Linked DNA regions of Alligator mississippiensis. The protein of the gene in region 2 purifies or fractionates together with the protein of the main gene of each other region. This does not show direct contact. Links are inferred from orthologs where the notes say so. Each region holds a gene or a part of one and is shown on either strand. Other genes may lie near its edges. The genes, in order: LSM6 and LSM1.

The links.
Region 1: the proteins of LSM1 (region 2) and LSM6 purify together in Homo sapiens (co-immunoprecipitation; 3 studies listed by BioGRID and IntAct, counting the BioPlex papers as one, with this or other methods). This does not show direct contact. The link is inferred for Alligator mississippiensis from reciprocal best matches to the Homo sapiens genes LSM1 and LSM6.

The regions. Positions count from the first base shown.
Region 1 is NC_081825.1:100,694,657-100,709,222, forward strand, and holds the start of LSM6 (U6 snRNA-associated Sm-like protein LSm6), read right to left. Parts: upstream 6,197-14,566; 5' UTR 6,089-6,196; intron 1-6,088. UniProt on the Homo sapiens protein: Plays a role in pre-mRNA splicing as component of the U4/U6-U5 tri-snRNP complex that is involved in spliceosome assembly, and as component of the precatalytic spliceosome (spliceosome B complex).
Region 2 is NC_081830.1:18,346,147-18,361,345, reverse strand, and holds LSM1 (U6 snRNA-associated Sm-like protein LSm1), read right to left. Parts: upstream 6,940-15,199; 5' UTR 6,894-6,939; coding exon 6,848-6,893; intron 6,221-6,847; coding exon 6,152-6,220; intron 3,333-6,151; coding exon 3,217-3,332; intron 1,323-3,216; coding exon 1,152-1,322; 3' UTR 796-1,151; downstream 1-795. Other genes in the region: BAG4 (BAG family molecular chaperone regulator 4), read left to right, coding at 7,470-7,544, 8,829-8,936, 14,302-14,550. UniProt on the Homo sapiens protein: Plays a role in the degradation of histone mRNAs, the only eukaryotic mRNAs that are not polyadenylated. Probably also part of an LSm subunits-containing complex involved in the general process of mRNA degradation.

The DNA.
Region 1 (14,566 bases), on a different chromosome or scaffold from region 2:
AGAGTTTAAAGATTCAGTAGCTAGAGGCAGACTTGTGGCTCTCAAGGCATTTACCAGGGAAAAGTTACCCAAGTGGATAAAAAAAACAAGGAGAAAAGACTAGAGCCACAGCATGAAACTTTCCATTTAATTTATTGCAATTTACGAAGTTCATAACAACTTTTTACTATAGTAGTCTTACGAGAATTATGGGAACGAGAACTGTTAATGAGTATTTTCAACGTCAAAAAAATACAGAATTGCCATACCTTTAACATACAGAGATGGCTTTGCTGCCTGGCAGGAGCAATAATTTCAATAAAATTAGAGTGAGCATTCAGAATCAAGCTTTGTCATTTACTAGTCCAGAGATCAAGGAGAATATTATCATCTCATAATACAGGGTATAATGTACAAGTTTAATTTTATATATGTGGGGCAATTTGAACTCAGAAGCTGGTCTGGGTTTTTTCTGGACGTTCTTCTAAGTCACTTTGATTTTATTCTTTCATTTAGGTATTCTCTTTCTACAAGACATGTTCATTTGTTTTTTAAATCCATTGCACAGTGGTACATATGCAGCATCTGCATCTACTAAGACATCCAAACCTGGCTGCAGTTTGGTAGGGAATGTTTCATCCTAAACAAAGGAAATAGGCTTGTTAAGATTTTTAAAGCTATTTATCAATTGCCCTCTTTTTTCAGATTGGAATGCATTCTGGAATACATGTTAAAGACCTGCTAGCACCATTTCGGTACATAAATCATTATGAGAAAAGCAGTTCTGAGTACTTTCTACCACGTATAGCCATGATTACTGTACTTGCCCAAATATAAGATGACCCTGAATTTAAGATGACTCCTCCCAATAATTAGATTCTACACACAGAATATGTATAAGTTTACTATAATTCTCCATGTATGGAATCTAACTACTGTAGATCTTAAATTCCTCCTCCCCCCCCCCCCCAACTACTGGGGGAGGGGCAGGGAGACACGATGAGGGGACAGTAATAGGGCAGGCAGGGGAAGGACCAATGAGAGACAGGCAGTAGGTAGACACATGGTAAGGGACATGCAGTGCAGAAGTGGGGGGACAGGCAGTAAGAAAGGCAGGCCTCCAGCTGTCTGTTCCCTCCCTCTACATACCCCATTGTGTCTGCCCGCCACAGCCTCAGAGCCCCGATCCCCCTTCCCCTATTCCCCCTCTACACAGCTTCTGCCCCCTGCAGCCTTGGGTCCCTACCCCCTCTTCCTCCCATCTCCCCAAAGTCTTTACCCCTCGCCTGCCCTTCCATTTGCCTTTGCTGACAGCTTGTCACTACTGCAGGCAGGGGGATTGGGCACTGGTTCCAGCCTGGCCCTGTAGTAGCAGCTGCAGCTCTGGCTCCAACCCCAGGTTAGGGCCAAGGCCAGAGCCACAGCAGCTGCCTCCCCAGCCCCTCACACTCAATTGTAAGCCAAGGGGCCTTTCCCCAACTCCACCTCCCATATTAGATAGGTGGGTGGGGAACCTCATCTTTTAATCGAGTACATATGGTATTTTTATAGATTGTACATAGTACACTGGACATAATCTCAGTTTTTAAAAAATCATATATAGGACTAATCTGCATCAAGGCTTCTCATCTGCAAAGTTTCACTTTAATACAAACCTCGCAGGAACAATATTTTAAAGAATTAAAAGTATCCTTCCCAATCATTTATTTGATGTATATTAATAGACTCTGTCCTTAATGACTGCACTTATTTATAGGCATTTCTGCATATTTCATCACTAGCTTCCAAGTGCAATGCTTCACACTGTAGTAAACATCTCGGGTATATCAACACTTTTTCATATAAAATTGTGCCAGTTTTAACCATGCAAACTAGGCTGCTTTCAGAAAAGTAATATGAAAAAAAATAGCTGTTCTACCTGGCTCAGTATTTCTAAATGTAGATTAAAGTCCCTCTTAACATATAAAGATATACACAGACATCATGCATCTCTTGCCACAGCTGATCTGTTATAACTGAGTGAAACACACATCACCTATTGCCCCACTTACTGATTCTGCGGGACAATGGGCAATATGTTCCCCACTAGCATAGCAGATGCACCCCGGAGAATCTCTGCAAGCAGAGAAGGCCAGTGCGGGAAATTGGCTGATTGATGGTCCCAGCCCCAGGACCACACCAGAGCACTGAACTTGCTCCAGCGCAGTGCCAGGGCTGAGACTGCTGATTCCCAGGGTGCATCTGTAAGTGGGCAACACTTTGCCCCGTGTCCCATAGGAGCAGTAGGCAGGACAACAGGCAACATGTTTCACTCAATGAAGGAGATCAGCTGATTGACAGTCCCAGGCCTGGGACTATACTGGATTGATGCGCACCCAGGGAATCCCAAACAGAAGAACGCAGGTAGATATTCCTGAGGCTTCAGAGGCCTGATCCTCCATGTCCCAGGAATGGGAATTCCTGCCTTAAAGTAAACAGATATTTGCTGCAAAACAGTGGCACAAAATCATACCACTTATGTCACACCACAAATGTTGGGCACGTGTGGCGCAACAAGGTGCATGTATATCTGTTGGCTTGGCCTTTGTGCTGCCATAAGATTTTTTTTTTGGTGTCTCAACGCAACATCTGTTTACACCTTAACATCTCTGTGTGCTGTTTTCAGTGACACTAAATTCTAGACTGTAGAAGACATTTTTAATGATTTGTCTACATTCATATAATATTGTTTAAAAAAATATCAGCTGGCCCTTCCTATACCTCATTAATAGCCATAAAAAATTATCCAAGATGCTCTTAACTCTGGGCTATGTTCCTGTATCTAGTTTAAGGCAATTCTAATACCCACCTGCTTTTCACCCTTCTACATTCTCAACTTCCAGAAAATGAGTTCAGTGAAGAGTAGCAATGCTAACACTGTTCATCATAGCAGAATAGGGCCTGTACAACCCTGATGGAAGCCAACAGCATGAACACAGTCCTTTTACAAAAAAATTCTGAACATCCTCATATCTTAGAGATCAAGGAATTAGAATTTAGTCTGTGTCCCTTCAATCAAGGGTTCAACTTTTTGCAAAGGCTGGATGGCATCTAAACCTAGTGTCTCAATAGAGCATTTTTCCTTGTACTGTGATAACACACCTGTAGTCCTCACACACTACAAAAGCTCAACAGAAAAGTAATATGAGAAATGTATTTCATGTACTGTAACTGTTCATGGCTACCCATGTTTTGTTCCTTACAGAAAATGAATAAACTCAATTTATGGCAAAGTGGGCTTACGCCATTGGATCAGAAATTAGTACTGAAAAAATGGGAGACCATCTGAAATAATGGTCCCACACAATAATAAAAGAAAATTATTTTAAAACCTTATATCAGTGCTCTCTCACGCCACTCAAAATTTAATGCTTTTATGGTAGAGACAAATGTTGGAGGGAGTGTGGTTGTTTGGGGAACATTCCACTACATGTGATGCACATGTCCCAGAATCAGACTGTTCTGGAAGCAGGCTGGAGACATGGTGAAGGAAATAAAAGGATGCCAACTAACAAGATAACCACTTAGTGTTCCTGTTGAACCTTCCTATGAACTCTGCACTTACAGAGGTCACAAGGAATTATTCACTCATCTTCTAACGGCTGCAGGAATTACAACTGCAAAAATCTGAAAGATGACAACTCTAAAATCAATGGCTAGTTTCCAAACGCTTGGTAAATTTTAGTGATAGAAAAGTCCCACCAAGTCAGTGTTCTGCAGGGGGTGGGGAGGACAAGACAACGCTTACTTGGAAATCTGAAGGAGTATTTTGGAATTTACTTACAAACAATCTTCTACCTTCAAACCAGAAAAAATCTGAGAGACTTTAACTCTCCTCCTCTGTTTTTCAACATATGATTAGTCCTCTTCTCTCTTCTCTGGACACTTTCTCCCCTGCAACTTAACTCCCTTTTCCCATGGACCAGATGCAGGTACTAGTGGATGGCAGCTCTGTAGATGCCTCATTTCTCTTCCTCTTCAGTAGTTGAAAACTACTGGCATTTTTACACGTGCTCCAGGGTGCTTTAATTAGAGCAGCTCTCCAAGGGCTTTAATTAGGGCTTCAATTAGAACAGCTCTCAGTTAACAAAAGTTTGTCTAAAGTGCCCCTGCTGCCATTTTGAAGTGTGGGGACACCAGTACACAAGAGGTGGAGGCTGGATGGCGCACACTAATTGGCAAACTCCATCAGACTCAATTAATCGAGTCTGTAATTTCAGCATGTTGGAGCAGCTTCCCAGCACATCTACAGACACCCTATAACAGAGTCAGCTGCCATGTGCTCATACCTAGCTGCTTTACATGCTCGAAGCTTTCTACTACTGATAGTAATAAAATGGATATTAGTAAAGACAGCCAACTCTAGACAGACTACTGACAAGGGTTCCGGTGAACACCAGAGACTAGTTTGTAAAATACATAGTCTGTGACAAGCTGCTGAAAAATGAAATTCCCTACCAACTTATTAACATATTACTCTGCAATGTGAAAATAAACACAGATTCATAGATGTTAGGGTCGGAAGGGACCTCAATAGGTCATCGAGTCCGACCCCCTGCATAGGCAGGAAAGAGTGCTGGTTTCAGATCACTCCAGCCAGATGCCTATCTAACCTCCTCCTGAAGACCCCCAGGGTAGGGGATAGCACCACTTCCCTTGGGAGCCCATTCCAGATTTTGGCCACTCTAACTGTGAAGAAGTTCTTCCTAAATGTCCAGTCTAAATCTGCTCTCTGCTAGCTTATGGTCATTCTTTCTTGTGACCCCCCAGGGGCACATGAAAGAAGTCATCACAAGAAGATGAAAGGCAATAAAAGATAAAGCTCAGGTGTGACTTGACAACACCAGCTAAACCTTTCAATCAGTTTTTTCATCAACAGATTTTTTTTGGGGGGTCCTTAATAAACCCTTACTAAACAGGCTTGGACAGTGGTTCTCAACCTTTTTAGGCTTGAGGCACCCCTTGATAGACCCGAGGCACCCCTGGGAAAATGCCAGCTCTTAGATCTCACTATTTTTTCACCAGAGAAAAATAACAGAGCAATTCTTCTGCTGCAAAGACCTCTGCAAGACCACAACAGGGCAGAACGGCTTTGACACTGGGTTTCCATTTGAAATCTCCGTGTTTATCGTATGAACGCTGCCTGCACACCAAACAGTGCTAACACTCTACGGCACCCTTAAAAGGGCCTCAAGGCACTCCAGGGTGACGCAGGGCCCAGGCTGAGAAACACTGCACTAAAGGAAGAGTTATTAGAAGAGGAAAGAGCTGAGGGGAAAGCCAAAATCCTAGAAGAAACCCAAGGCTGGCAGTAAACACAAAGCTGGACATGAGCCAGTCGCAAACTGCCTGCACAGGTCTCAAAGAGGCCACTGTGCACCTAATGCTGGGCACCTCCGGACCAGTACGGGGGAGAAAAATTAGCAAAACAGAGCCAGCAACAGCCAGAGCCCCTCCATGACACATGTGAGATGATCCAAGTGGACACTGAGGTGCAGCTCCCCAGGCAGCTGGCAGGGGAAAGCAAGGAGCAGGGGTTAGTTATCAGCGGCTGTCCCAGGAGACGGAAGGGGCAGCAGGAGACTGAAGAAAGGGGCAGCTCTGGGGAGCGGGACGTGGATCTGCTGTCGGACGCTGCAGTGGGGGGGGGGGGACCGAAATGCACCTTCCTAAAATAAAACTGGACGAAAACTGCCTGATCCTCGTGTTGTGCTGTGCGGCACAGATGTAAAGCATAGGCGCATGCACACACACAACACACATGCATGCAGACGCATGCACAAACACGCGCACCCGTTCCCGTCAGCGCCCGCGCAAGGGAGGGCAGGGCAGGGCAGGGCAGGGCAGGTCATGACCCAGCGGGGTGCGCGCGCAGCAGCCGACCCTGCCGCCGCCGCGGCATGCGCATGCGCAAGCTCGGCCTGCGCGCCACAGCACCGCGCCACAGCATCGAGCCACCGCTCCCAGCCTGAGGCGCCCCGCGCCCAGGCTACGGCGCCAGGCAGTTCACTGCCGTTGGCCGGCAGCGGCCCGGCCCCTGCCCCTGCCCCGCGCGCCCTAGCTCGCTCACCCGCGCGCTGCTCCACCCGCTGGCTAGGAAAGCTGCCGGGCGCACGAACAGCCAATCAACGCCTTGCTACGGCGAGCTGCCGGGACCAGAACTCCCTGCTTGGACAAGAACGCGTTCTGCTGGGGACTTGGGGCGGGGCCAGCACGTGAAGCCGCTGCGCTGCTCTGCGCTCGGCAGGGTCCCGCCCCCGCCCCAATGGGATCTGCCCATTGCAAAGCTTCCGCACCCACCCTCCAGTGCCCTTTTTAAGGGTCTGAGGCCGCTGCTTTGCTGCCTTGGGCTCCGTGCACGGCGGCTCAGCCAAGCCGAGCCCAGCCCAGCCCAGCAAGTCTTCTTAGTCCAGGGGTGCTCAGCCAGGGTGTCTTGGCCCAGTGGTACCTGGGATCCTGTCCAAGCTGCTTCACAGGTTGAGCCCCGGGATGGCCCCTAGGAAGCCCTGGCTGTGGTTGTGCAGCAGAAACCCTGCCCTGCTACTCTCCTGTCCTTAAATAAAGAGCGAAAACGAAGAGCTGGGGGGGTGTTGTAGCCGTGTTAGCTTAAGGACATAGGCACACAAGGCTTTTTCAATAAATGATATCTTTTATTAGACCAGCTAAATAGTTAGGGAAATTGTTCTTTGCAAGCTTTTGGGCACAAGCACCCTTCTTCAGGCACAGGAAGAGTCTGTGGATGTTTCGTGCTCTCCTGGATGGAACAGAAGCCAACGTGTAAAATGCAGGCCTGCAAAAATGCAAATGCAATGGCAGCGAGGATCAGAGGCCATGGGGGACAAGAGGTGTGAGGCAGGTGTAGGGGTGGGGGATTATTGACCTGGTGATAATGTAGCTGGTAAAATGTAGAGAGGTTACCTGGGGTTATTGAAGGTCAGGCAGATTATAATGTACTGTAAATCTAATGTCTGTTTAGTCCATGATTTTTTGTATCCAGTACATTGAAGAAGTGAAGTTCATAGGCTCGTCTGTGAAAGGTGTTTTGTACATTATCTTTGAGGATGAGAAGTGAGAGACTGGAGAGAGAGTGGGTGTGTTGTGAGAAGTGTGCACCCACAGGTGCTTGGGTATTTCTGTCTCTCATAGATTTCTGGTGTGTGTTCATTCTGGTGCACAGTTATTTCTTGGTTTCTCTTACATATTTTCCATCAGGGCATGTAGTGTGCTGGATGAGATACAGAAGAGCTGGCATTTCCCAAAGGCTAATGAGTCTAAAAAGGTTGAGGACCTCAGCCTCCCTCTCTGCCTGCTCCTGCTGCTAAGACGTGGATGCCAGCAGTCACCTTAGTCATAGTCAGCTGCTGGTTTAATACAGAAGGCCTCAGATTAGAGTCCAAGGTTAAAGTCGCACGTTCTGCCCCTAAAGCTCCCTCTTCTCTTTGTGCTGTGAAGTGTATGCAGACGTGGAATTTGGAAAGGGGGCATGGGGACGGTGAGGTGCATCATCACATATAACAGCATTTATCTTTCTTCAGTTAAAAAGAAATTAGAAGCTTCATGTAGACACTACAGGCCTAGGGCTGTGTTACTCAGTTTAAGAATGAAGCAAAAGCAAACCTAACTTCATAGGAATGAGTTAAAAACAGTCTGCAAAGCTGAGAATTAGGAGCTTCAGTATCAGGAGCAGGGAACAGACAGCAGAATGGCAGAACAAAGGATAGCGTTTTTGGTGGAGCATCAAGACCCATGGAAAGAAGCCATTAACACCTGTGGAATGAAGAATTTAGATGGAACCAGGTGGGATGATACTGAGCTATCGAGTCAATTGACTCCCTGAGCAATGCCTGACTAGAAATGCTGCTGCTACTGCCAGGCAGTTCATTTTAAACTTTGTGTAGAGCAGGAATCAAAGTGGGGTGTGAGTGCACTCCCTCGGATCTGCCCCTGAGCTATGTGTGCTGGGGCATGTTTGCAACCACCTCTCCACGGGCAGACTTCTGCTAGAAGAGGATGGTAAATCAGCCCTTCCTAACATGGGGCTGTGAGCCAGTAAGGAAGGGTGTCCTCCCATTCAATTTGCTGGTGCTTTCTTGCAACACTGTTAATTTTAGATCCCTGCAGAATGTGCATCCTGGCCCATGCTTCTCTTTTCAGAGGCTGTAAATATTTTTAAATGATGGTCAACTTTCCAAACCACTGACTTCTTTGTCTTGCTTTTTTTACTATAGCTGGTCATACCTGAGGTGCTGGAATGCCAGAGGAAAGGTAACATTGCAGGTGGTGTGATGTGAATGCCTTCCAGCCATGCTCATGTTTGGTTCATATACCTGCTTACAGCTGATATTAGAACATCTCCCTCATGCACTGTTCACCCATTAGCCTAACGGTGCTTAAGATGAACTGTATTTGTACAAATATTTTATTTCTATTTATTATGTGTTGTGTGGGTGCCATGCTTATGAAAGATGCTTGATTGATAGCAGTGGAATGTACTCTTTTGTTTTCAAAGCAGAAGTTGCAGCCGTTCAAGCTCCTTTTATTGCAGGGGTGTGCAGTTATTTGGGCCCACAGGCCATATTGGGAGTTTTGGTGAGCTGTTGTGAGCTGGGTCAGCACTCCCCTGCCTGTGCAACATCTCACCAAAACTCCTTATGTGGCTTTGCTCTGCACATGGCAGGGTGGATGGGATGGGTCCGTGAGCGAGCAGGGAGCAGTGTCCAGGAGTGAAACAGGCAGGTGAAACTGGGATCACAGGGCACATTGTGGGGCATTGACAGCATGGGGCCAGGGTAAAGCCACGATCCACTGCTCTCACTGCCCTGCGTCCCGGGCATGGGTTCCACAGGCAAGGGGTGTGCAGGCCCCAGCCCCATGCTGTCAGCACCCCAAGATCCTGGTCTCAGCCCTGGACATAGCCCTGCTGCGTGCCCAGAGGTGGCAGGACTGGGCATAAGCACCACAGCCCAGGCTGGCCCCTGGGCTGGGTGGAACCAAGGGACCTGCCACAGGCCAGAAAAAAATCCCTCAGTAGGTTGGATCCTGTCCAAGGGCCATATTTTGCCCACCCCGTCTTACTGAGTCTACAGCATGCTTTTCAAGCTTTTCTGGAGGTGTCTACTCTAGGTTTAGTGCCATCTAGTCTAGTTAATTCTTTCTGTCTATTCAGCATCCCATTCTTAGTTGTCATGCCATGACTGCCCACACAACATCTGTAACAGTGATCTTGTTATTATGAAATAATATAACAGTAGTACTTCTATAACAGTGGTGCTTAATCTTTAAGCCCCTCAGGCCAGGGGAGTGGTGAGAGACTGGGGAGTGGTGAGGGACCAGTCTATGGGCTGGACCCGATGCATGGAGTTGGTCTGTGGGTACCATCTGGTATACTGGCCTGACACCACACATGTCCCAATCTGGGACACCAGATCCAGCCACTCACCATCTTGACCCCATGCACCAGATCTGGCTACTGACCAGTCTGATCCTGCTGCATAGTGTCTGATACCGGTCTGATCCTGCTGCATAGTGACCGGACCCCATGTTCCAGATCTGGCTGCAAACTGGCTTGACCCCACACACCAGCATAATTTAGTACACAAGGTATGTCATCTGGCACAGAGCTCCCCATGGGTCTGGAAATCTGGCAGCAAGGAAGCTGCAATTAACACTGCCACCACTCCCCAACTGCCAAATTTTTTGGACCCATGGCAGCACCCACGGACCAAATGACATACATGGCCTTTCAGGCTGGAGGTTGAACATCCCTACTCTATAAAGGCATGGCATGCCAGTAGGAGGCCTCTCCACCAGTTAGGGGTCTTGGATCATTATCACTGGATGGGAGGGGCTGCTACTTGTTTAGCATCTTCTCCCAGTTAAACTTGTCCCAAAATACAGTTTTTCCCCAGGTATGCATAACCCTTAATCTCTGTCATTCTTCTAAAGCAGAGCCACAGCTGTGCCTGTACTGAATCCATCTGCTGCAGTTCCCTTTGAATTTTTCCACAATATGTTGGGCAACAGAATCTAGCATGCTCTAAGTTGTTCTGAAACAAAACTGAGATATGAAGCATCCCGCTTTTCAACCTGAGCTATACAGGGTTTTAAGAAGAGACCCAAAGATTCTTCCTCATCAGATATCCAAGGTATTTAAATTAAACAGCAAACTTCTGAAAAAAAATCTCCCAGAATTGTTCTCTTGTCATCTTCTTCAACAGCAAAGGAACAGTACTGCTCAATTTTCCCATTAAGAGAAAGAGAATTATGCACAAATTTGAAAGGTATAGGAGGGGAAAAAATAATTGTCAGAATTTTAATGTGCATTATTTCCTGATTTGCTGAAAGCTACTCAGGCTCATAGGAAAAAACTCTTACCGCTTAAATCTGAGATTTTTATACTGCATTGCATTTCTGTTATATATGACGTGTAACTTTGCCTTGTTAAAGACCATAAGTCATATCTGTTTTAGAATTATGACAATGCAAAAGCATTATTGATTTCACACAAAGCCACTAAGAAATGTGCCTGCATGTTCTGAGGGTAATTCACCTTTCAAATCTACTGAATCTTTATTAGGTAAATTCTGATTTGTTGATGTGGCTGTATTTTTTTATGCCTTACATTTATATTAGAAAATAATTTATAGATTTTTTTATGGAAAAATTATCTGAAGTGGTATCATAGCCTATTCTATTATATAACTGGAATGCTATTAATACCAGAATATTTTTGTGCGTTATATGATTCCTATTACCAAAGCATCTGAATGTCTCAGTCTTGACTCTGTTAATGTGAGAGAGAAAATTAAGATGTGAAATTAAGTGACTTGAACAAGGTCACCCAGAAAGCTTGTGAATTGAAATAGTGTTTTGCTGGATCCAGGCTTCTACTCCTAGCAGTGAGCAATCTTTCCTTCTCTTTAGGGCTTTCATATCATGTCAGTATGCCTTGGATTCATTTATGCATGTTCTCAGATTGGATTTTATTCTCATCCAGACTCTTAAATAATTCTTATATTAGTATATTATTAAAACTATAAATAAAAATAAAGAAAGGAGAGCAGAATGTGAAGGAATATAGGTTAGTGAATATCCCTCTCTCTACTGTCTGGAGCCATTTCCCATATCTTTTTATTATACTCTTTGGTGATATCTTTTCTCAAAGGGTTAGGTAAGAGAGATTTAACAAGCGTGGTCTATGAACGGGATAAAGTTCACCTTACTGTCCTAGGAGTTCAGGAATGGGCAAGGCCAGGGAAATGGAGCCACATTGTGATTAGGTTGCCAGGCAACCATCATATTAATCAGGAGCCTCCAACTGTGCTTGATTATATCTAGTAGTTGAAGCAGAAAAAGAACCTAATATTGTTACTATTGGGAGCAGCCGTACAAGGTTTAATTTGGCCACTAGTCTTCAGTGAGCAATAATTTTGATGGTGAAGTATTAGTTTTTCTGTTATCTTTAATCACCAGGGTAAAGACTGGGCAAATAGATTTTGTGCCTGGACTGGTAAATTTTTGTAACACTTTTGCAAGCCTGGCTCAAGGGTGTTTGTGATTGGTGGGCCTTCCATTGCTGCTGTTTACACTAGTATCTCTGTGTGAATTGCATTTAAAGGAGATGGGGTTTGTGCATTTACCTTTAGTCCTCGGAATCCTGACATACACTGTCTGTTAACCTCTTGGGTGCTCTGTAGTCAGAATGCTCGTATATTTGATGCTACCTTCTGAAATAGCTTTGAGTTCTTGCTTAATATCCTAGTGATCTTATGAATTAAGTTGAAGGTAACTCCATCCACTACTTGACCACTTTCAGACCTGGGAACTGAGTCTTGCTAACTCTACAGCACACTTGGCTCCTATCATTTAGGGTTGAAGAGACTGCGTCACATAGCCAGAGCCTCATTCTTGACCTTGATAACGTGCAGTATTTAGGGTATGAAGGTGTTTTATGTGTTGTTCTTTGTGATAAATTGCCCTCTGTATAATACGACCCCTATTGTCAAGCATTTTGCTGTAGTGTGATTTGCACCTGGGATGAAAAGCTGTTGAATACCTCTGCTAATATATTCAGAGGGATTATGTAAGCGCATCTGTTAATGGGCAACCTAAAAGAATGCTACTTTGCCTGAGTGACAAAATCTAAATAACCTCAGAAAGGTGGTCTTCGAAAGATTTCCATAATCCATATTTAATTTACTTTTTAAAGGTTTCAAAGTGAAAATAAAATTAAGACCTAATCAGCTAGTGATTACATCTTTTTTTGTCTCAGCCTTTCAGATGAAGAAGGATTTAGATCTAAAAAAAACTTTGTGTGTTTTGCTATCAGTAGATTCTTTTAAATGCCATATTGCTTTAGCCTTTCACAGTGAACTTTGATAAAGCTTTTTCAGTTTTATAATTCAATGAAATCAGTGAGAAGCTGCCCTTGTGTTTTAATCACGATGAACTTGAAAGGTGAACACTGTAAGTGGTAGAAATTATTTATAATTTGGTAATAAAAGTTTATGTCTAACACTCCAAATTTCATACATCTGCTATGTGCTGGCCTTGAGGTATAAAACAATTGCAGTTGCCTTTACATTGGCCTTAGCTGAAAGGTCATAAATTACAGTGATAGAGTTCGTAGTCATTCCCTGCTCACAAAATTTCCATATTAACATCTTCACCTCAAATATAAATGGTTACAAGGAAAAGAGTTGTGTTGGCCTTTGTCAACTACGCTTAATGATGGAAATCTGTGGTACGTATTCCTATTCTAAACCTTAAACACAAGGCATTTCAGAATCTTTGCGCAGAGGACATAATTAAAACGTTACAGTCAACTTTAAAAAACAAAGTGATATTTGACACACTCAACTCACTCGCTCTCCTTTTAATACAGTAAAAACCGATTCAAAGATAAGATTTTTCCAGCTGAAAATGAAAAGTCTTTCCACAGAGGGCTGCACAACTCAGAAAATGAGTTTTAAAGAGTTCTAAACACTGCACTGTCTATTGCTTATGAGAAGAAATACTTAAATACACAAGAACAACAATTATGACGACAAGATGATTTCACTAGCTGATTTTGGATTCAGTCTGAGCACTTCCAGTTTATAATTAGTGGAAAATAGAGTAAACAGGATGATACAGGCAACAGTAGGGTCTTAGAAGTTGAATCTGTTCTGCTGTTCAAAGAACAGAGGAAATTGTGGCAAAAAATCAGAGAATCAGAAAATTAGGGTTGGAATCCCTACCTCAGAAGGTCATCTAGTCCACCCTCCCTACTCACAGCAGGACCATCCCCAACTAGATCATCCCAGCCAAGAATTTAATGGAAATTCCACAGCTTCTATGGATAGCTTATTCCAATGCTTTACTACCCTCCTTGTGAGAGAGTTTTTCCTAATATCTAACCAAAACTTCCCTTGCTGCACCTTGAGACCATTGCTCCTTGTTCTGTCATCTACCACCACTGCGAACTATGGCTGTGCAAAATTTCAGCAGCCATTTCATTTTGGAGGTGTGTCAGGCCATTTTGGTGCCTGAAACACTGAATCCAAATCAAAACAGAAGGCCCAGGAACATCTCCGAAACAAAGCGAAACATCCAAAATGTTTCGGAGATGTTTCAGAAAATTTCAGCGTTTCAGAGCCAGGCTTGCAGGGAAACAACTGTATGCTGCTGCTCTGCTGCATGACTTGGCTCTGCAGGGAGCAGAGATCCGCAAGGGGGGTCTCCTCGCGCCACTGCCTGCCCCCCGCTACTCCAGTGACACGGGGCTGCATGGGGCAGGCAGTGGCGGCAAGGAGACCCCAGCATGGATCTCTGCTCCCTGTGGAGCCAGGTCATGCAGCAGGGCAGTGCTGGTCCCTGCCACACAACCTGGCTCTGCAGGGAGCACAGATCTGGGGCTGCATGGGGTGAGCAGCAGTGGGGAGGAGATCCCCAGTGCAGATCTCTGCTCTCTGTGGAGTCAGGCTGCACAGCAGGGCAGTGCTGGTCCCTGCCGCATGATCTGGCTCTGCAGAGAGCACAGATCTGGGGCTGCATGGGGTGGGCAGCGGCAGGAAGGAGATCCCTGGGATGGATCTCTGCTCTGTGCAGAGCTAGGTCATGTGGCACAGCAGTGCTGGTTCCTGCTGCATGACCTGGCTCTGCAGGGATCAGAGATCCACGTGGGGATCTCCTCACCTGCACAGAGGGCAGTGGCCCTCCCCCGGACAAGCCACTCATGGCCCTGTCCTACTCGCCGCTGAGGCCCTGCAGCCCCACCCAGCTGGGCTTTGAAACAAGTTCAGCCAAAACAAAATGGGTCAGCAATACGAAACACCAAAACGAATTACTCCAAAATGGCCAAATTCTAACCAAATCGAAACACATTCGTTTTCCACAGCCCTACTAAGGACAGTCTATCTCCATCCTCTTTGGAACCATGCTTTGGGAAGTTGAAAGCTGCTATTAAATCCCCCCTCAGTCTTCTCTTTTGCAGACTATTAAATAAGTCCCGTTCCCTCAGTCTGTCGTCATAGGTTGTGCCCCAGTCCCCTCACCATTTTTGTTGGCG
Region 2 (15,199 bases):
GGGGCCCTTCCTTTCATCCACATGGAAGCAGTCTTCCCTGCAAAGGAGATTAATGGGAAGAGGCTTCAGAAGTCTGGCAGCTGCTTGCAATTTGGTAGTCCAGTTGTTTTGCCACATGGCATAGAAAGGCAAGAGGTACTTTCTTTGACTGTAGTGCTTCAATGCTGAGAATATCCCAAATCCAGCAGACAAACAGGTACCTCCCTGCCATCCAGCTCTTTGCAAATTGAGCCATCTAAGCAAAACTAAGAGATTGCAGAGATCACATTTAACACTCAAAATGAAAGAAGCAAAGCAGTTGGCACACATCGTAGAGGTCAGGCTAGATGGAGTTAGGCCTGGCAGACTTAGCAGACAGAGCCAATAGATTAAGTCAAGTGCTGCAAGGCTCAGTTCAATGGAAGAGGAATGGTTTGTGTTCACAAGAGCACTGCAGGATTTGGGAATGGAAGAGTTACCACAACAGGCACGGTCTTTAGAGTCACTTTTCCGACAAGGCAGTGGTGCAGAAAGGTTAGATCTGCCAAAGCTGCTACCAAACACCGACTCGAGGTTGTGAATGCTGACTCCTGCTCTTCCTTCTGGAAATACTGTCTTTAAAGTTGTGAGGCAGTAGCTTTCTGCTGATAAAAGAGGCTTAATCCCACCCCTCAGCTGAGTTTGTCGTTGGCAGGAAGCATGCTCCAGGTCGCCCTAGGTCCACTGCCATCCCTAGCATATCCTGTAGCACCTCAGCAGGGAGAAGTCCAGAGAGACGCGAGCACAGTCAATTCCGAGGCCAGGGACACTGTAGGCTATATTATCACGATCCAGGTTTTATTTACATGCTGAGGAGCAGATACCCTCGAGTCACAGATAAACAGAATAAAAACAAAAACAGAACAAAACACCAGGTTTCCCTGAACACGTGCTCTCAAGCCCTCCAGAGCACACAGCCTTGTCAGCACACATTCAGACACCACCAGAATGTCTGTGCTTCAGAAATAAGGATTACAAAACAAGGCATTTTTTTTTTAACCAGTTTCTGTGCTACAGAAAACACATGCTCAAAATGAAGAGCCAACTTTCAAAGCAGAGCTGCAAGGGCCCCATCTGCACACAAAGCACTCTGCTTGATCTGAGTCATGGAGACTGTCCATAGGGCACAACACCTAATACTCATCAAGGGTATCTGCCCGTGGGATGGAAAGTCCCCGTTCCTTCAGTGCCTGCACTTTTAACTTCTCTGACTCGTGCTTGGCCTGCTGTTCCACCCGCTGCTCCTCCAGGATCTCTTCTATTGAAACCTGCTGCAAAGGAGTGTCACTTTCCTTCTCCAGGTCCTGCAAGAGAAACACTGGTTAGCTAGCATTGTCAAGAGGGAGCTCATACCAGGACCCAAGGTCCTGCTGTCCAAGGGACAATCTGGACACAGGTGAAGTCAAACACCTGGAGATTCAGCCACATGCACAGCCATGTGTGACCATTCATGAGCCTCCTGGAATTTCCTGTACTGGGCAGGAGCACAGGAGGACTTAAGGGAAGGTGGAAGAGTACTAGGAGGTCCAGCTCAGCCCAATGGCCAAAGAAAACTTAGGTCAGTGGCTTCAGCCTTTCCTTAAGGCTATCAATACCCATACATGCTGCCACTCTCCATTTGACATGCAGCCAGCCCTTAACAAGAGGCCACATGGCCTAACAGACCTGGAAGCCAGGAACAATTGAGTTCTCCCTCCTGGTCTGGACAAACTTTTTGGCCTTGGAAAAGTCAGAAAACAAACACCGAATTACAAGTGGGGGGAAGACTAAGTGTGCATCAGCTGCTCTGCAGAAACAGTTTAAAGGTGCCCACTCCTATCCCACAAAAAGTGTGAACTCATCTGGGCCAGTGGACTCCAAAGGAAAACAGACTAAATAAACTTTGATTTATCATGGAAGAGCTGGTGTGAAGCTCCTCCTCCCCTTTACAACTAACTCAACAAATGTACTCATTTGCCCATACTATCACATTATCCCTGTGCGCCAGACCCAACTATTGGATCTATGACTTCAGTTACAATATTGTCCTTCATTTGGAAAATCCTGATACTTGAAAATACTTGAGAAAAGAGCATGTGATAAACCAAGCTATGCAGCATACCTACCCCCTCTCCCCCAACCTCCATCAGCATCAAGAACACTTTGGGTTTCCAGCAACACAAAAGTGTGTCCAGACCAAGCCAGAGGTGCAAGGAGGTACCATCATGCTGTCCACCACCCTGTTCCCTGGCTCACGCCATTATTCCAGTCAGAGGGCCAGGGAAGATGATACACCAAAAGGGACGGAGTCAGCTCGTTACAGAGAAAGAGCTCTCCTTTCACTCAACAGGAGCATCACTGTTGGGAAGCAGGGACTGATGCAATGTACATACTGAAATCACGGAGTTTGCTTTTCAACTGGTCCTTAGCAGTTTCATAATGAACCTACTCTATTGTCCTCCAACACAACCACAAACTGATATCAGTCTAAAACATCCCAGTTCTGGAGATCCACTCACCAGAGGACTGCATGTATTCGAGGAGTGCCTGCAAACAGGAGGGCTATATCCCCACTCCTCCTGTTTTTTAGCTTAAACCATATCAGGTTCAATATGGGACTGGCAGTTCACTCACTTCTCAACACTGAAAATGCTGCATTGGGTAATGTCTCAGAATGGGGGAGGAGGAACCCCCTCCCCCCCAATCTATACTCCATCTTTGTGCAGTGCGACTTGCTTAGCGCAACACTACTCACAGCTAGTGCTGAGTGGGTGGGATTGAATGACAGATTTCTCCAGCACTCTGAAGTGCTGGGATAAAATGTGGTCTTGTAAAATGTATTTAAAAGGGTAGACCAGCAGAGCTCTAAGGATATTAAAGACAGGTGCTCAGTCACAGGGTCAGCACCTCTTGCTTACAGCCCTGTGCCAAGAGCTGAGCCAGAGTATTACCTAATTCCCCTGGGCTTGGCTCAGTATGTGCGCAATGGCATTTCACAACAGAGACTTGGGCCAGCTCCACGCTTCCCCAAGTGCGGAAGGGATACACCCAGTGTCATCTGCTTGTGAAACCCAGCTCCAATAACACACTTGCTGGTAATGCTTCTCAGAGCAACTACAGCCATGAGCTGTAAGAGGCAGGGATCATGTCTAGGCAGTCACCAAGCCAGTGCTGCAAGCCAAAGAGCACACCACAGACAAGCAAGAGATGCTTACGTACTATTTCCCCCAGGAGAACGACGTTCTCTCCTCTCACAACAAAGATGCCACGTGGAATATCCCCATACTTCTTGCCCACGTGGATGCGCTCCACAGTCTGGTGTAACACTAAGTTGGCTGCAGAGAGAAAGAAATGCACGTTACTTCGCTTTCTAATGCAAGAGGAGGTCCTGTCTGCACTAGCAAGGGGAGCTGCAGTTCTAAAAAGCAAAGGCTACCCACACCTGGCAAAGCCACCTCCCTGCCTCAAGGCTTCTCACTCCAGCAAGAGCAGTTTCATCCACCACTTACATGCAGCATTTAGTATGACAAAAGTATACAGAGACCCCAGCTGCACCATACTGGGTGCTGTACATCAATGAGGGGAAGTGGCAGCCAGGAACTGACATGCCTAAGAGTCTGGTGCTTCTCCACTACACTATATCTGGGAGGGACAGCACTGGGACTCCACATTTAACATTACCTCTTACAGAAAGCTCCACTGGTTCGAACAGTTCTGCTATGGGTTTCAGAAGTTTCACTGCAGCAACGCAGTACCCCAGCCCCAGAGGTCAGAGTCATTATCTGCCTATTGATCAGCACTGTTTGCTGCAGACCACGATTGATTAGGAGGTCTCTCGTTGCAGCTATGCTTATCCTAGGATATGAAACTCAACTGTCAGCCTCAGAGATGATCAGAACATAAAATATGTTTATATTTAGGGTGACTGGCTCCTGCAGAGTTTGACATCAGTGTTTGTATCAGCCCTTCAAAAACATGGCCTTCCCTGTGTCTTCAACAGCCATTAAAGTCCAGTTGTCCCATACTGTTAAGAGGGTTTCCCTGGACATTCACTGAATAAGGAAGGAGATGAGCATTGCCAAACAGAGAGGGTAAAGCCAGAAGAGGAAGACACATGGGCCAGATTTCAGAAAAAAGCTTTAGCAAGCCATGGACAGCAAGAGCACCTCCACACTGTTCTTAAGTACTTTTTTGTCATTGGATTTATAAGACCTGCAGCAATAAACACCTGCTATCAGCACCGCACCTTAATTGTAAACCAGCTGATCTCAAATAAAGCCAGAAGCTGCTCTCCATGTGAATTCAAAGAGAAGATTACCCCAATAAGAATATTAAAAGTGCTAGTTTTCAAATGACAAGAGAAATGCAAAGAAGGTACAGGCTGCTGATTCACACCACTCAGAGTACAGTCAGTGCTTTTTTTAAGTCCAGATTGCTTGGAATCAAGGAAGCAGGCAATGCTGCTCATGACTGGCACATGAGCAGAAGCAAGCATTGTTATTCTACATGGCACATCTGTTACTCTCCACAACATCACACAGGAAGCCAATGAAACAGGAAATACTTGTCAAGTGCAAACTTGCTGCTTACAATTAAGTCACTGCCTCTTTAACGGGCAATATAGCTCTTCTGCTGAACTTGTACTGAAGTGCTCATCCTGCTCTTTATGCTAATGACCAACACCCTCTGCCCAGACTTGATGAAGCAATCATTCAAGAACAGATCAGACAAATCCATGCAGGATAGGTCCATCAGTCAGCATTAAATAGGATTGTCAGGGGTGCAGCCTCAAGTAGCACTTGCCAGACCACTGAGTGCTGGAAGCTCCAAGGGAGGAGGGGAAGGGACTACACTGGATTCTGCATTGGCCTTGCATAATAAGTGTACCTTCTCTTTGTGTCTACCCTCTGCCACTGAGATACAGAATGCTGGGCTAGATGGAGATACAGTCACACCCAGTGGGGCCTCTTATGTGCCCCATGGGATCCAAGGTTTGCCAAGTCACATTAACAGAAGTAGGACAGGAGCTACAGGTTTGCTTTTGCTCCCATCTTAGTCAACAGAGAAACTGGGCTCTGTGCAATGGGCAATGAACTGTGCCCCAAGATTAACGCGAACTCCCCAGCTCTGCTTTGATTCATCCCAGAGCACAACGGGAAGCAGCATAGTCTGGAGGGTGATGCAAGCCTGGGAGTCCGATTCAAAAAGCTGGACTGTGGGAGCTCAGCTGGAAGCCAAAAACCCAAGCCTTCATGAAAGAGCTGGGTTTAAGTGCTCTGTACTACAATGGGGAAAAAGTTCATGCACAGCTGAAGGTCTGGTGTCAGCTGGACCAATGGCCAGAACTCACAAGCCACTTCTTAAAATGTATCCTATACATACACCTCTGGATTAGGTTACGCTATTAGCAGTGTACTACAGTTATAAAACCTCTCCCCCACAACCAGAAAGCCTAGTGCCCCCCACTCCAGGTGAGCTGTTCTGCTCTTCCTGAGCACTTCAGGTACATCACTTAGTGGCTACTTTTACTAGCATTCAAAATATCTGGGCCACTTGGCTCCCTGCCACCTTGGCCATTCATTATGGGGCACTCTTCACCAGGCATGTGGCTCCCTCTTGTGGTGAAGTTAAAAAAATGCCAAAATGACAACACTATTTTATCTGAAAAGCTGAACTGGAGGATTCCAGAGCCAGTGAACTCTGAACAGAAAAATAAAATAAAAACACCTCTTTAGAGCGGAGTCTGGATGGCTAACTACCAAACCAGAGCATCAGGAAGTGTTTAAGCATGCAGCAGGAGATGAAGGACATGCACCTAAAGGGAGAATTGCTCTCTTTTCTTTGTAGCACTCTGTACTCCACCATCTGACACCAACTTCTGTCCCAAACAGTTATGTGGGAAACAACACCCACTTCTAAAGAGCACTCCCTGCTTTCTCCAAGGCTACATGAATCCTATTGTGCAAACACAATTCTAACAAGGCGCAATGCTTCTCCCCGTCACATGCCAAAAGTTGATTCCTAATCATCACCCATAAAATGCTGGTTTGCACCGGGCCAGTTTTGTGCAGTACGTTTGCTGGTTACAAGGTTAGAGAGCACTCATAAGAAAGCAGGGGGCTTCGACCAAGACCAAAGCTATGCTGTCACCTACCAAACTGGTCGATGCTTCTTAAGTATCCTATCAGCGTTCTACCATCGCGGAGCAGGACCAAGTGCTTTTCTGGAAGACATTAAAAGCTAGGTCAGCAGTTACATGCAAGGCAACAATCATCATCATCATCAACATATGCACTCAAGGAGTAAGTGGGCAAGAAAGCTTTCCCAGAGCGCCACATGAACTTGTGCCCCTCGCTGCTGCTGCAGGACCTCAGGGGCCAGGTATTCGCCTCCGTCTCCAGGGCCTCAGTCACGCAGCCTGAGCACCTGCAGCTGCTAGGAAAGTCCAGGAGCTGCAAGTCAGGCCACCAGGCTGCGAGCACCAGGCAGGCAAATTGAGGAGGAGCTTTTCTTTATGCAAGAGTTAAAGAAAAAAAATGAAATTTTTAAAAGGGGAAAAGAACAGGAAGGGGCACGGAGGAGGGTGGAATATTTCTGAAGCACTGGATTCCCGCAGGTCTCCTGTACACTGCGCAGGCTACACCTGCAGTACAGATGCAGGGAGACAATAGCAGCAGCCAAGGGGAAAGGGGGCACAGCGCAGCGGCGGTAAGTCTGCTGGGGTGATAGGGGACGGGGGGCAGTTTCACTGGACAGAATCCACCAGCTCCTTAGGCCCCGTCGCGGGCCTGCGCGGCGTGCTCTGCTCGGGGCCCCCTCGGTGCACTAGTTGCTAGCCGCCGCCACTCACTGTCGATGTCCTGGATGAGGCTGGCAGTGCCCGGCATGTAGTTCATCCTGCCCTACCCCGCCCCACCCGCGCAGCAGGCGCCGCTACCGCTGCCTCACCGGGCCGCTTTACGCACTGCCGGAGCCGCCTCGCCCCGAGCCTGATTGGCGGAAGCGAGAGGCGACGCACGGGCCCCCGCAAAGCGATTGGCTGAGACATGCAGGAGGCGGGCTGCGGAGTGGACAGCCGCCCCTCTGATTGGCCGCGCTGTTGGACAGGGAAGAAGCTTGGCGATTGGCAGGGGATGACGGGAAGGAGTTCGGTGGGGGGGGACAGGCGAGAGGGGTGATGCGCGGTGCCGGCGCCGCTGATTGGCTGAGGAGCGCGGGCCCAGGAAGAGGTCGCGAACGGCGTCGCTGATTGGCTGAGGAGGGGAAGCGGTTTGGGGGGTGGGGGCGGCCGTGAGAGAACGGCGCCGCTGATTGGCTGAGGAGGGAGGCGGCCCGTGAGAGGTCGAGGTCCGGGGGTGGCCGTGAAGCGGAGGCGCCGCTGATTGGCTGCGGGTCGTGGGCCGGGTGCGGCGCCGCTCGTGTCGGCCCTGCGGCGCCTGCTGTAGGAGCCGTCGCCCGCCGCGCCCTGGCGTATGGAGCCGCGCGGCGGCCCGCAGCCCCGACCCGCCGCCTGGGCTGGCGGGGGCGGCTGGGAGCGGCCCGCGCAGGTACGGGGCTGCAGGGAGGCCTGGGGGGAGCGAAGGGCTCGCAGCTGCCTGGGCGCGGGCGGGGCGGGGCGGGGCGGGACAGGGCGGGCCTCGGGCAGAGCCGGCCCCTCGCGCCGCCAGGTCGAAAATAGGAAATTACCGTATTTAGAGGCTCAAAATTACCGTATTTACTGAAAAGTTACCGCACGCTGGAAAAAAAATGCAAATAAGTCACCTGACAAATGTTACTGATTTCGGAGAAATTCTTAGGGGAATAGCCCGGGTGTCGCCGTGCACTTTTGCTGTCCTTCCCTTCGTCTGGATGCTTTTCAGCTCCAACGGAAAGGACTCTTTGGTTGCAGACGTCCTAGGACTGACCATTTTCTCCCAGGACAAAGTGCAGCGGTTCAGACGTCCACATCCATTGCCCCAGGTTAAGAAGTACTAATGGTCTGTCCCAGCACATCGCAGCGCGTGTCTGAATGGTTATCCCTGCACTGCATCGCTGATATAACGGCAGAAAAGCAGACGTGCGGTCAGTTGGCCGCTAAACCCCGGTTATTGAAGGGCAACGTGTACGCCCCAGTCCTGAGATATTTCCATTCCAGGACGACAGGGACAGCTAGCCTCTGAGCTGCCAATGAAGAGAAGAGCTGTGCTGAGAGGTAGTTGAGCTCAATTGCTGCTACGTTCCCGGGTCCTTCAGCCTATTGTGCAGTTTGATTAAGCATTTCTTGTGTGATTTCCATACTTGGGAGCCTGCGTTGAGTCAGTTAGCACATCGAGGCTGCTGTGCCATGCTTCCACTGATGCCCTTGCTCTTCTACAGCTTTTTCATAGATTCATAGATGTTAGGATCGGAAGGGACCTCAATAGATCATCGAGTCCGACCCCCTGCATAGGCTGGAAAGAGTGCTGGGTCTAGATGACCCCAGCTAGATGCATATCCAATCTCCTCCTGAATTTTCCTTTCAACAATTGCTGGAAAACGCCTCCTTTTCGCAGTGCCGTCTCGGCATGGGCAAGGGAGGAATTGTGAATCTGGCAGCCAGCCTGGAGAGGTGAGAAGGTCTATAAATATAGAGTGGAGTAGCATTTCATAATAGTTTTGAGGCCATAGTATGTTTTCAGGCCCTTCCTTGCCATGGCGTGCTACAGATATAGCGTGCAGTTGATTATTACTGTGCACACTCTTCCTTTGCAGCTTTCCAGCATGTTTTGCGGTGAGTTCTCTCCCCGTTATTGAGAGGGTAGGTAATCTTCTGCTAGTGCTTTTCTTACCTCCTTTTCCCACCCCACCTTTAGGAGCAGCCACCGTATCCTGGATACACCTCCAGCTACTGGAACTCCACGGCCCAGTCCAGAGCTCCCTACCCAAGTCCCTATCCAGCTGGAGCTGAGTTACAAGGCCAGGTACAGTTGGGCAACGGACCTTCCCATCTTGTTTGCTGTGAAGCAGAGGAATTTGTCTGGTTGGGTGGGAGTTTGAGCCAGAAGACTCCAGTCAAAGGGCTGGTTTCCTCCCAAACAAAGGGACCAGCCATTTTAGAAATGCAGGGCTTGCATGGCAGACTTAGGCAAGCCCTGGGGACTTCTGCTGCTTCCTCCGTGTTGCATTGGCTTCAGGAAATGCTACTTCCTAGATACCACAGCATTATATTGAGTGTCAGCTGGAAGCTGAAACTTGAAACACCTGCACCAGCCATACTTGAAACTGTGGCTGAATCCCCTTGCCTGCTGGTGCTGGCTACTTCTAGATGCTCTGCACAAAGCACCATGTCCCATTGCCAGTGAACTAACGGTAATTGGAGTAATTATTTTTACACCGGTGGCCCATGAATAATGCTAGACCCTGCCAATGGCCTTCAGCCAAGGATACTTAAATGCTCTGCATACAGTTAAAGCAATTAGTTGTCTCATAGCACCTATACTAAGGTATTAATCGTGTTTTATGAGCCCTTGCTCATAAACACTGGGGCAGGGCGTTGTAGTGACTTGCCAAAGGCTGTGCAGTGAGTCAGTCCTGGAAATGGGACAGAATCCAGGTCCCAGTCCCTGCTGTGCATTTTGGGTTGCCCTAGAAATTGTGACGTCAGCATGGGGCTCCAAGCAGGGAAATACCTTTTGCTGCTTGATACTAGAACAGTCCTTTGAAGTACTCTGCTGCTTTTCCCTCAAAGCCCGTGGATAATGTCATTGCCTCCTTGCCTAGACCCGATGGTTGGAATTCTTGGTTTCCCCCAACACTAGGCTGTATCTTCCGGTTTCTTTATCCTGTCTCCTGAAGAAACTAGCATCCATCTTCACCCAAGCGAGAGCTTTCCCAGCATAGTGGGGACCTGCGTGAAAAGCTTTTTTCCATGCCAAAGCAATCTGGCATTTTCTTTTCCTAGTGCTCCGAACAGTAGCTAAATGGCACTTCCTAGTGACAGGACAAATGCTGCCTCAGGGGTTTCATGCTCGCATCTAACGCTTGAGCCACAGCAGTGAATTCTCATTGTGTAGGCTGCTGTAGCACACAGTGCTGGGGCTTGTTTGCGCCTCTCACCACCATTTTCCACTATAGCTGTGCTGGGAGTTCTCCTCTGAGCACTCCCAAGTTCTTGGTATCTATTTTAAAGAATGATTGTGACCATATTGCTTCCCTGGCAGTCTTAAAGTATTCTCATGCTCATAAACAGCGAAAGCATTCTTCGTGACTGGGGAAGCAGCATTTCACACGCTCAGTTTAGCAGATGCAAGCCACATAAGAAAAAGAGCTTGAGCTGTGGGGCCTACAGAGGCCAGCTGCTATTTGGAAATTACTGTGAGCACTAATGCAGAGGTTTTCCACATGTGCGCGGTGCCCCTCCCAGCGAACCTAGGATGCTCCTACAGTACGTGTAACACACCTTGATCGTAAACAGCAGCATTGGCGTATGGACACTCGTTACTAAGCTAAGCCAGTATATTCTTGGAGAAAAAGATCCACTGGTTCTGAAAAGGAACACCTTTGGTTATTTCATCTTCTCCCAATAAGCTGCATAATGATATTTTGGGTTTTCCTTCGTTGTTTTTCCCTACTTTTCCCTCTCCAGCTCTTTTTTTTTTTTTAAAAAGCGGAGTAGAAAAAGAGAGGGGAGTTGGCAGCAAGGACAAATAGTAGAATTTTTTCCCAATTCCATCCAGAGCCTTGCTATGTTTTGTAGACATTTCTAACTTCAAAAGTGTTAAACAAGGAAAGCATAGTTTGAAAAGTTGTGGCTGAACCTAGGATTCTCATTGCCTTGAGAACTGAAGGAGCTACTCAGTAGGCCTAAGGGTGACAAACCCTCAGGGAACACATGTGAGGTAACACGCCATGGTCCCCACTGCCAGGTACTTTACAGCCAAATAAGCAGGGTTCTTCAGGCAAGGCCTGGGGCTTGGAAACTAGCATGGGAGGACTAGACCTTGGTCAGTTCCTCCTTTTCGGAGAGATTAACACAACAGAAGGTGGGAGCCATGTGAGCAGGAAAGTGTCTGCCCAGCAAAATTACCAACAGAGAGTAGCTAAGAATCAGCAACACTGGTTAGGGCCTGAATAAATAATAGTAATGAAGTGGTCTATCCCCAGTAGAGGGCAGACATTAACCAAGAGATGCCCTGCCTCTGCAGAGGAAGGGAAGCAGCAGAATACAGTACTTTGTATGTTCTGGTTCCATAACTCGCCACATCTACAGGAGACACTGACTGCAGTATTGCTGCGCTGTAGCGTCACATGGCAAAAACAGCGAAACGACACTACAGTGAAGTAGTGTCACAAAAAAAGGCATTTGCTGGCGCTGCTGCGCAGTAACTCAGGTCACTGCACATTATTTTAGCACTTGCTTATACAACTACTAAATAAACGTGCAGTAACGACTGTGCAGTAGCATCTGGTGTAGATGCCCCTGCTCTGTCAGGTCTCTCCTGTGCTGTTGCAGGGGTGCCTTGCTTGGAGGAAGCCGTGCACAAACAGCAGGAAGAACACTTTCCCCCCAAAAATATATCCTATAAAAAGTTCAGACAGAGGTGCATGATAGAGATTTTTTTGGGCTGATACCGATAGCTGATTTTTAAGGAGGGATATCGAACGATACCGATCCGATTTCCGATACAGCTGTGTGCAGCTGGTGAGTCCATTGTGGGGGGAGGGGAGGGGAGGGAAGAAGCGTGGTAGGGCAGATCAGTGCCCCCCACAGTGAGGGAGGGGGTAGGTGCTGATCAGCTGGGGCGGGGTGACGCACAGGACAGAGCCTTGGATCCTCTGGAGGGGCGGGGGTAGCTCCTGCCGCTGCTTGCACCCCAGGAGGGCATTTGGGGGGGAAGGGGGGGCACATGCCCTCGGATCTGCGTGGGGCTGGCAGCCTGCAGCTGCGGGCTGGAGCCAAGCTCTTCTTGGCAGGGGCTGGGCTCGGGAGGGGACTGCAGCCACCCCAAATTTCGCTGTAGCTCTGCCCCCAGCACCACTGCCACAGACCTGACACAACGCCCTGCCTCCACCCACGCGCCGGGAAGAGCTGGGGCTGCGGCAGTGCTGGGAGTAGGAGTACAGCAAAATTTGTGGTTGGCTGCAGCCCTCTTCGAAGCTCCCACCTTGAGCCCCAGCCCCTGCCAAAAAGAGCCTGGCTCAGCCCTGGTTCCAGCCTGCAGCTGCAACCTGCCCACCCCACACAGATCTGGGGGCAGATGCCCCCCCCCAATGCCCTCCTGGGGTGCAAGCAGCGGTGGAAGCCACCCCCGCACTCCCCGGGAGCCGTGGCTCTGTCCCATGCCCTGCCCCACCCCAGTTGGGCAGCACCTGCCCCCTCCCTCACCATGGGGGACATTGATCTGTCATCCGTCCCCCCACCCCCCACCCCCCATGCTCCTTCCCTCCCCTTCCGCCACAACGGATTTACCAGCTGCACACAGCTCTGTCCCTCGCTGCCTGAGTGCTGCGCTGCAGCCGTGCGCGCGCACGAGCATTTATCGGCCAAATTATTGGCTGCGTCAGGCTGATTTCTGATACAGCCAGTTGTCTTTATATGGGTACTGATCCGGTATGAGATCCATGCATCAGTGCACGTCTAGCGGACAGTCCTGGACTGAGCCACAGCTTTGAAGTAATGCTCAGCACCTACATCATGCTCTTCTTTCATACAGCTTGAGGCAGGATTTTGTTTGTTTTACAGGGTGGAAGGGAACTGTGACTTGTCTGAAGTCCAGAGCAAAGCAGTGGCAGACCCCTCAATCCTGACTGATTTCCATACCCAAGTGCCCCAGGCGTTTCACTGTGGCAGTCTTGTATTCTTCCACTTGGAGCAACCATCCCATCTCCCCTAGACTTCCCTTGGAGACAGTGGCCCATGATGCTGAATCACATGTAGGTCAAATGCAATTTGTGATCAGTTTCATTGCCACACAATTCTCAAAGATTTCAAAACTGCCCGAGCCCTTCAGGGGAAATTTCTTTTCCATAGTTTAGTGAAAAAGTAGGCTTGACTTTCCAGAAACCAAGGGGCCTGTGATGGGAGCATGTGACCAAGAGCTGGGCCAGCAGGCCAGAGGTCCACGCAGCTAGAGAGGTCTGTGGGGACAGGAGGTCCTGTATGAAAGTCTTAGGACCCAGGCAGAGGGCTCACAAGGAGCAGAAACCAAATAGGAAGGATGGGAGGACAGTGGGCCCGAGTAGGACACCTCATTGTATTTAATGTTTCGGGCTGGACACAAGTTGGGGAGCCAGTATAACTTATGCCGAGAGGTTCTTACTATGTGCAAGTTGCTTGCCTGTTTCATGATAAATTGTTGCTAATGCTGGGTTTCATTTATTCAGAACCCTGAATTTAAAATGTTTCACATAACCATGTTCCTAGGTAAGACCCTGTCAATGTCACCCCCTGGCCCTGCCTAAAGACAGGGCTCTGGTCCTGAGGAGACAAAACCAACTAGCAAATTTGGGCACTTCTCTCAGAGACCTGCACTGCTACAGACCGTAACAGCAGCCTTTCTGACACATGGAGCCCTCTGCTCAGCTCAGGCTGATGTCACTGCATTCTGTATGCTGTATCATTGCCCCCCTGCACCCTGTTGCCAAGGGCCTGGGAGTGGGTCACTGATGTCCACTGTTGCATGAGTACATGGCAGGTGACCAAGATAGCACACAGTGTCTCCAGGAGGAGCTCTTGGTACTGCTGGGAACCTTCCAGGCTTTGAAGCCTCTCTGTCCACAGGCTGTAGGCAGTCAAAAAGCTTTAAATGGTCAGTGAGCTACTAGAGCTCCAGACTGGGTCTGAAAAATCCAAATCTCTAGGGCTAATGATGATGAAGTGGATTCCAGCAAGGGGCCAGAAGGAGTGGGCTGAGAGGAAAACAATGCTGTCCTACCTGATAGGGCTTTGGGAGGCTTCACATTTGCCCAATACTTAGCATCTGATCACAATCTCCATAAGGCTTAACAGTCATCTCCTCAAAGGAAGAGGCATCAGTTTCTAGATCTGTAATATGGTCACAGGCACTCCCCTGCTAACAGCCTGTCCTGTTTCTTTCTACCCCAGCATTTTTCCAATGCAAAATTTCCACCCTTACTTGCACAGTAAGATCTGAATCCCCCAAGTGAGGAAGTAGATGCATGGAACTATCCCTCAGCAACCAGATTGGGTTGGATACCTTATTTCTTGACTTGTAAAAATTAAAATGCTGTTCTTACTGCTGTCCAAACCATTCTGCTTCTGTACTCTCAGACCTAGAAGCCCAGAGCCAGTCCAGGTTCTTAGTACCTTCTCTGATTGCTTTTCAGGGGCTGGATTCTCCCTACACAAATGGAGGCTATGGCACCCGTTACCCCTCGGCTCCTGCACACTATCCCAGTTTGGCACAATCAAACACTTACTACTCCTCTGGGCCCCCACAGCCCCCTTACCCTGCAGAATCTGCAGGCATGTACAGGTCTCCATCACCAGCTTCTCACTGGAACTACCCCACAGCAGACTGCACAGCAGAAAGCTCCTCTCTCAGGAGACACGTCCCAGGGTATTCCCCACCACAGGTAAGGAAGCCAGGACACAGACAACAATGGGTGCTTCCTCTGGAAGCCTGCCTGGGGTGGGCAATGCTCACAGCCAGGTACTTGGTGGTGCTGAGTACAGCCCTCCTCAACCAAAGCCTGGCAAGTGCACTGCAAAGTGCAGCTTGCCTCTCCAGCTACCAGCTGCTAATCCCTGAGCTCGAGAAACAGACTCCACAGTTCCTGCTTCTCACTATTGTCAGGTACCAGTTGAGGATTGGGGTTACCAGATTGGAGGACCAGAGCATTAGAACCAGTACTGGGGAGCCAAAGTCAATGTTAGGGTTAGCAAGCAGAGTCCAAGAGCAGGCTGGGGCAGGAGCAAAAGTCAAGGATTAGCAAAAGCTGTTCCTCTCCCCTGAAGTAGAGAAAGTAGTTGGCCAGTCAACCGGGTACCGGGGAGGGTGATAAAGGACTTATGCAGGTCCTGTCCATCCACTTGTAGCTGCTGCTTTGGAGAGACCAAAGTCCTACATTCAGGGCTGCAGTCCTGACGGGCATTTCCATCCAATAGAAGGTCGAAGGCGCTTTGTCTCTGGCGAACTATCCAGCAGTCACCTGTTTGTACCAGGCTGGCTTAGACAACAACTCCACTGCATGAATGTCCCAAGGAGCCCTCCCTGTCTGAAAT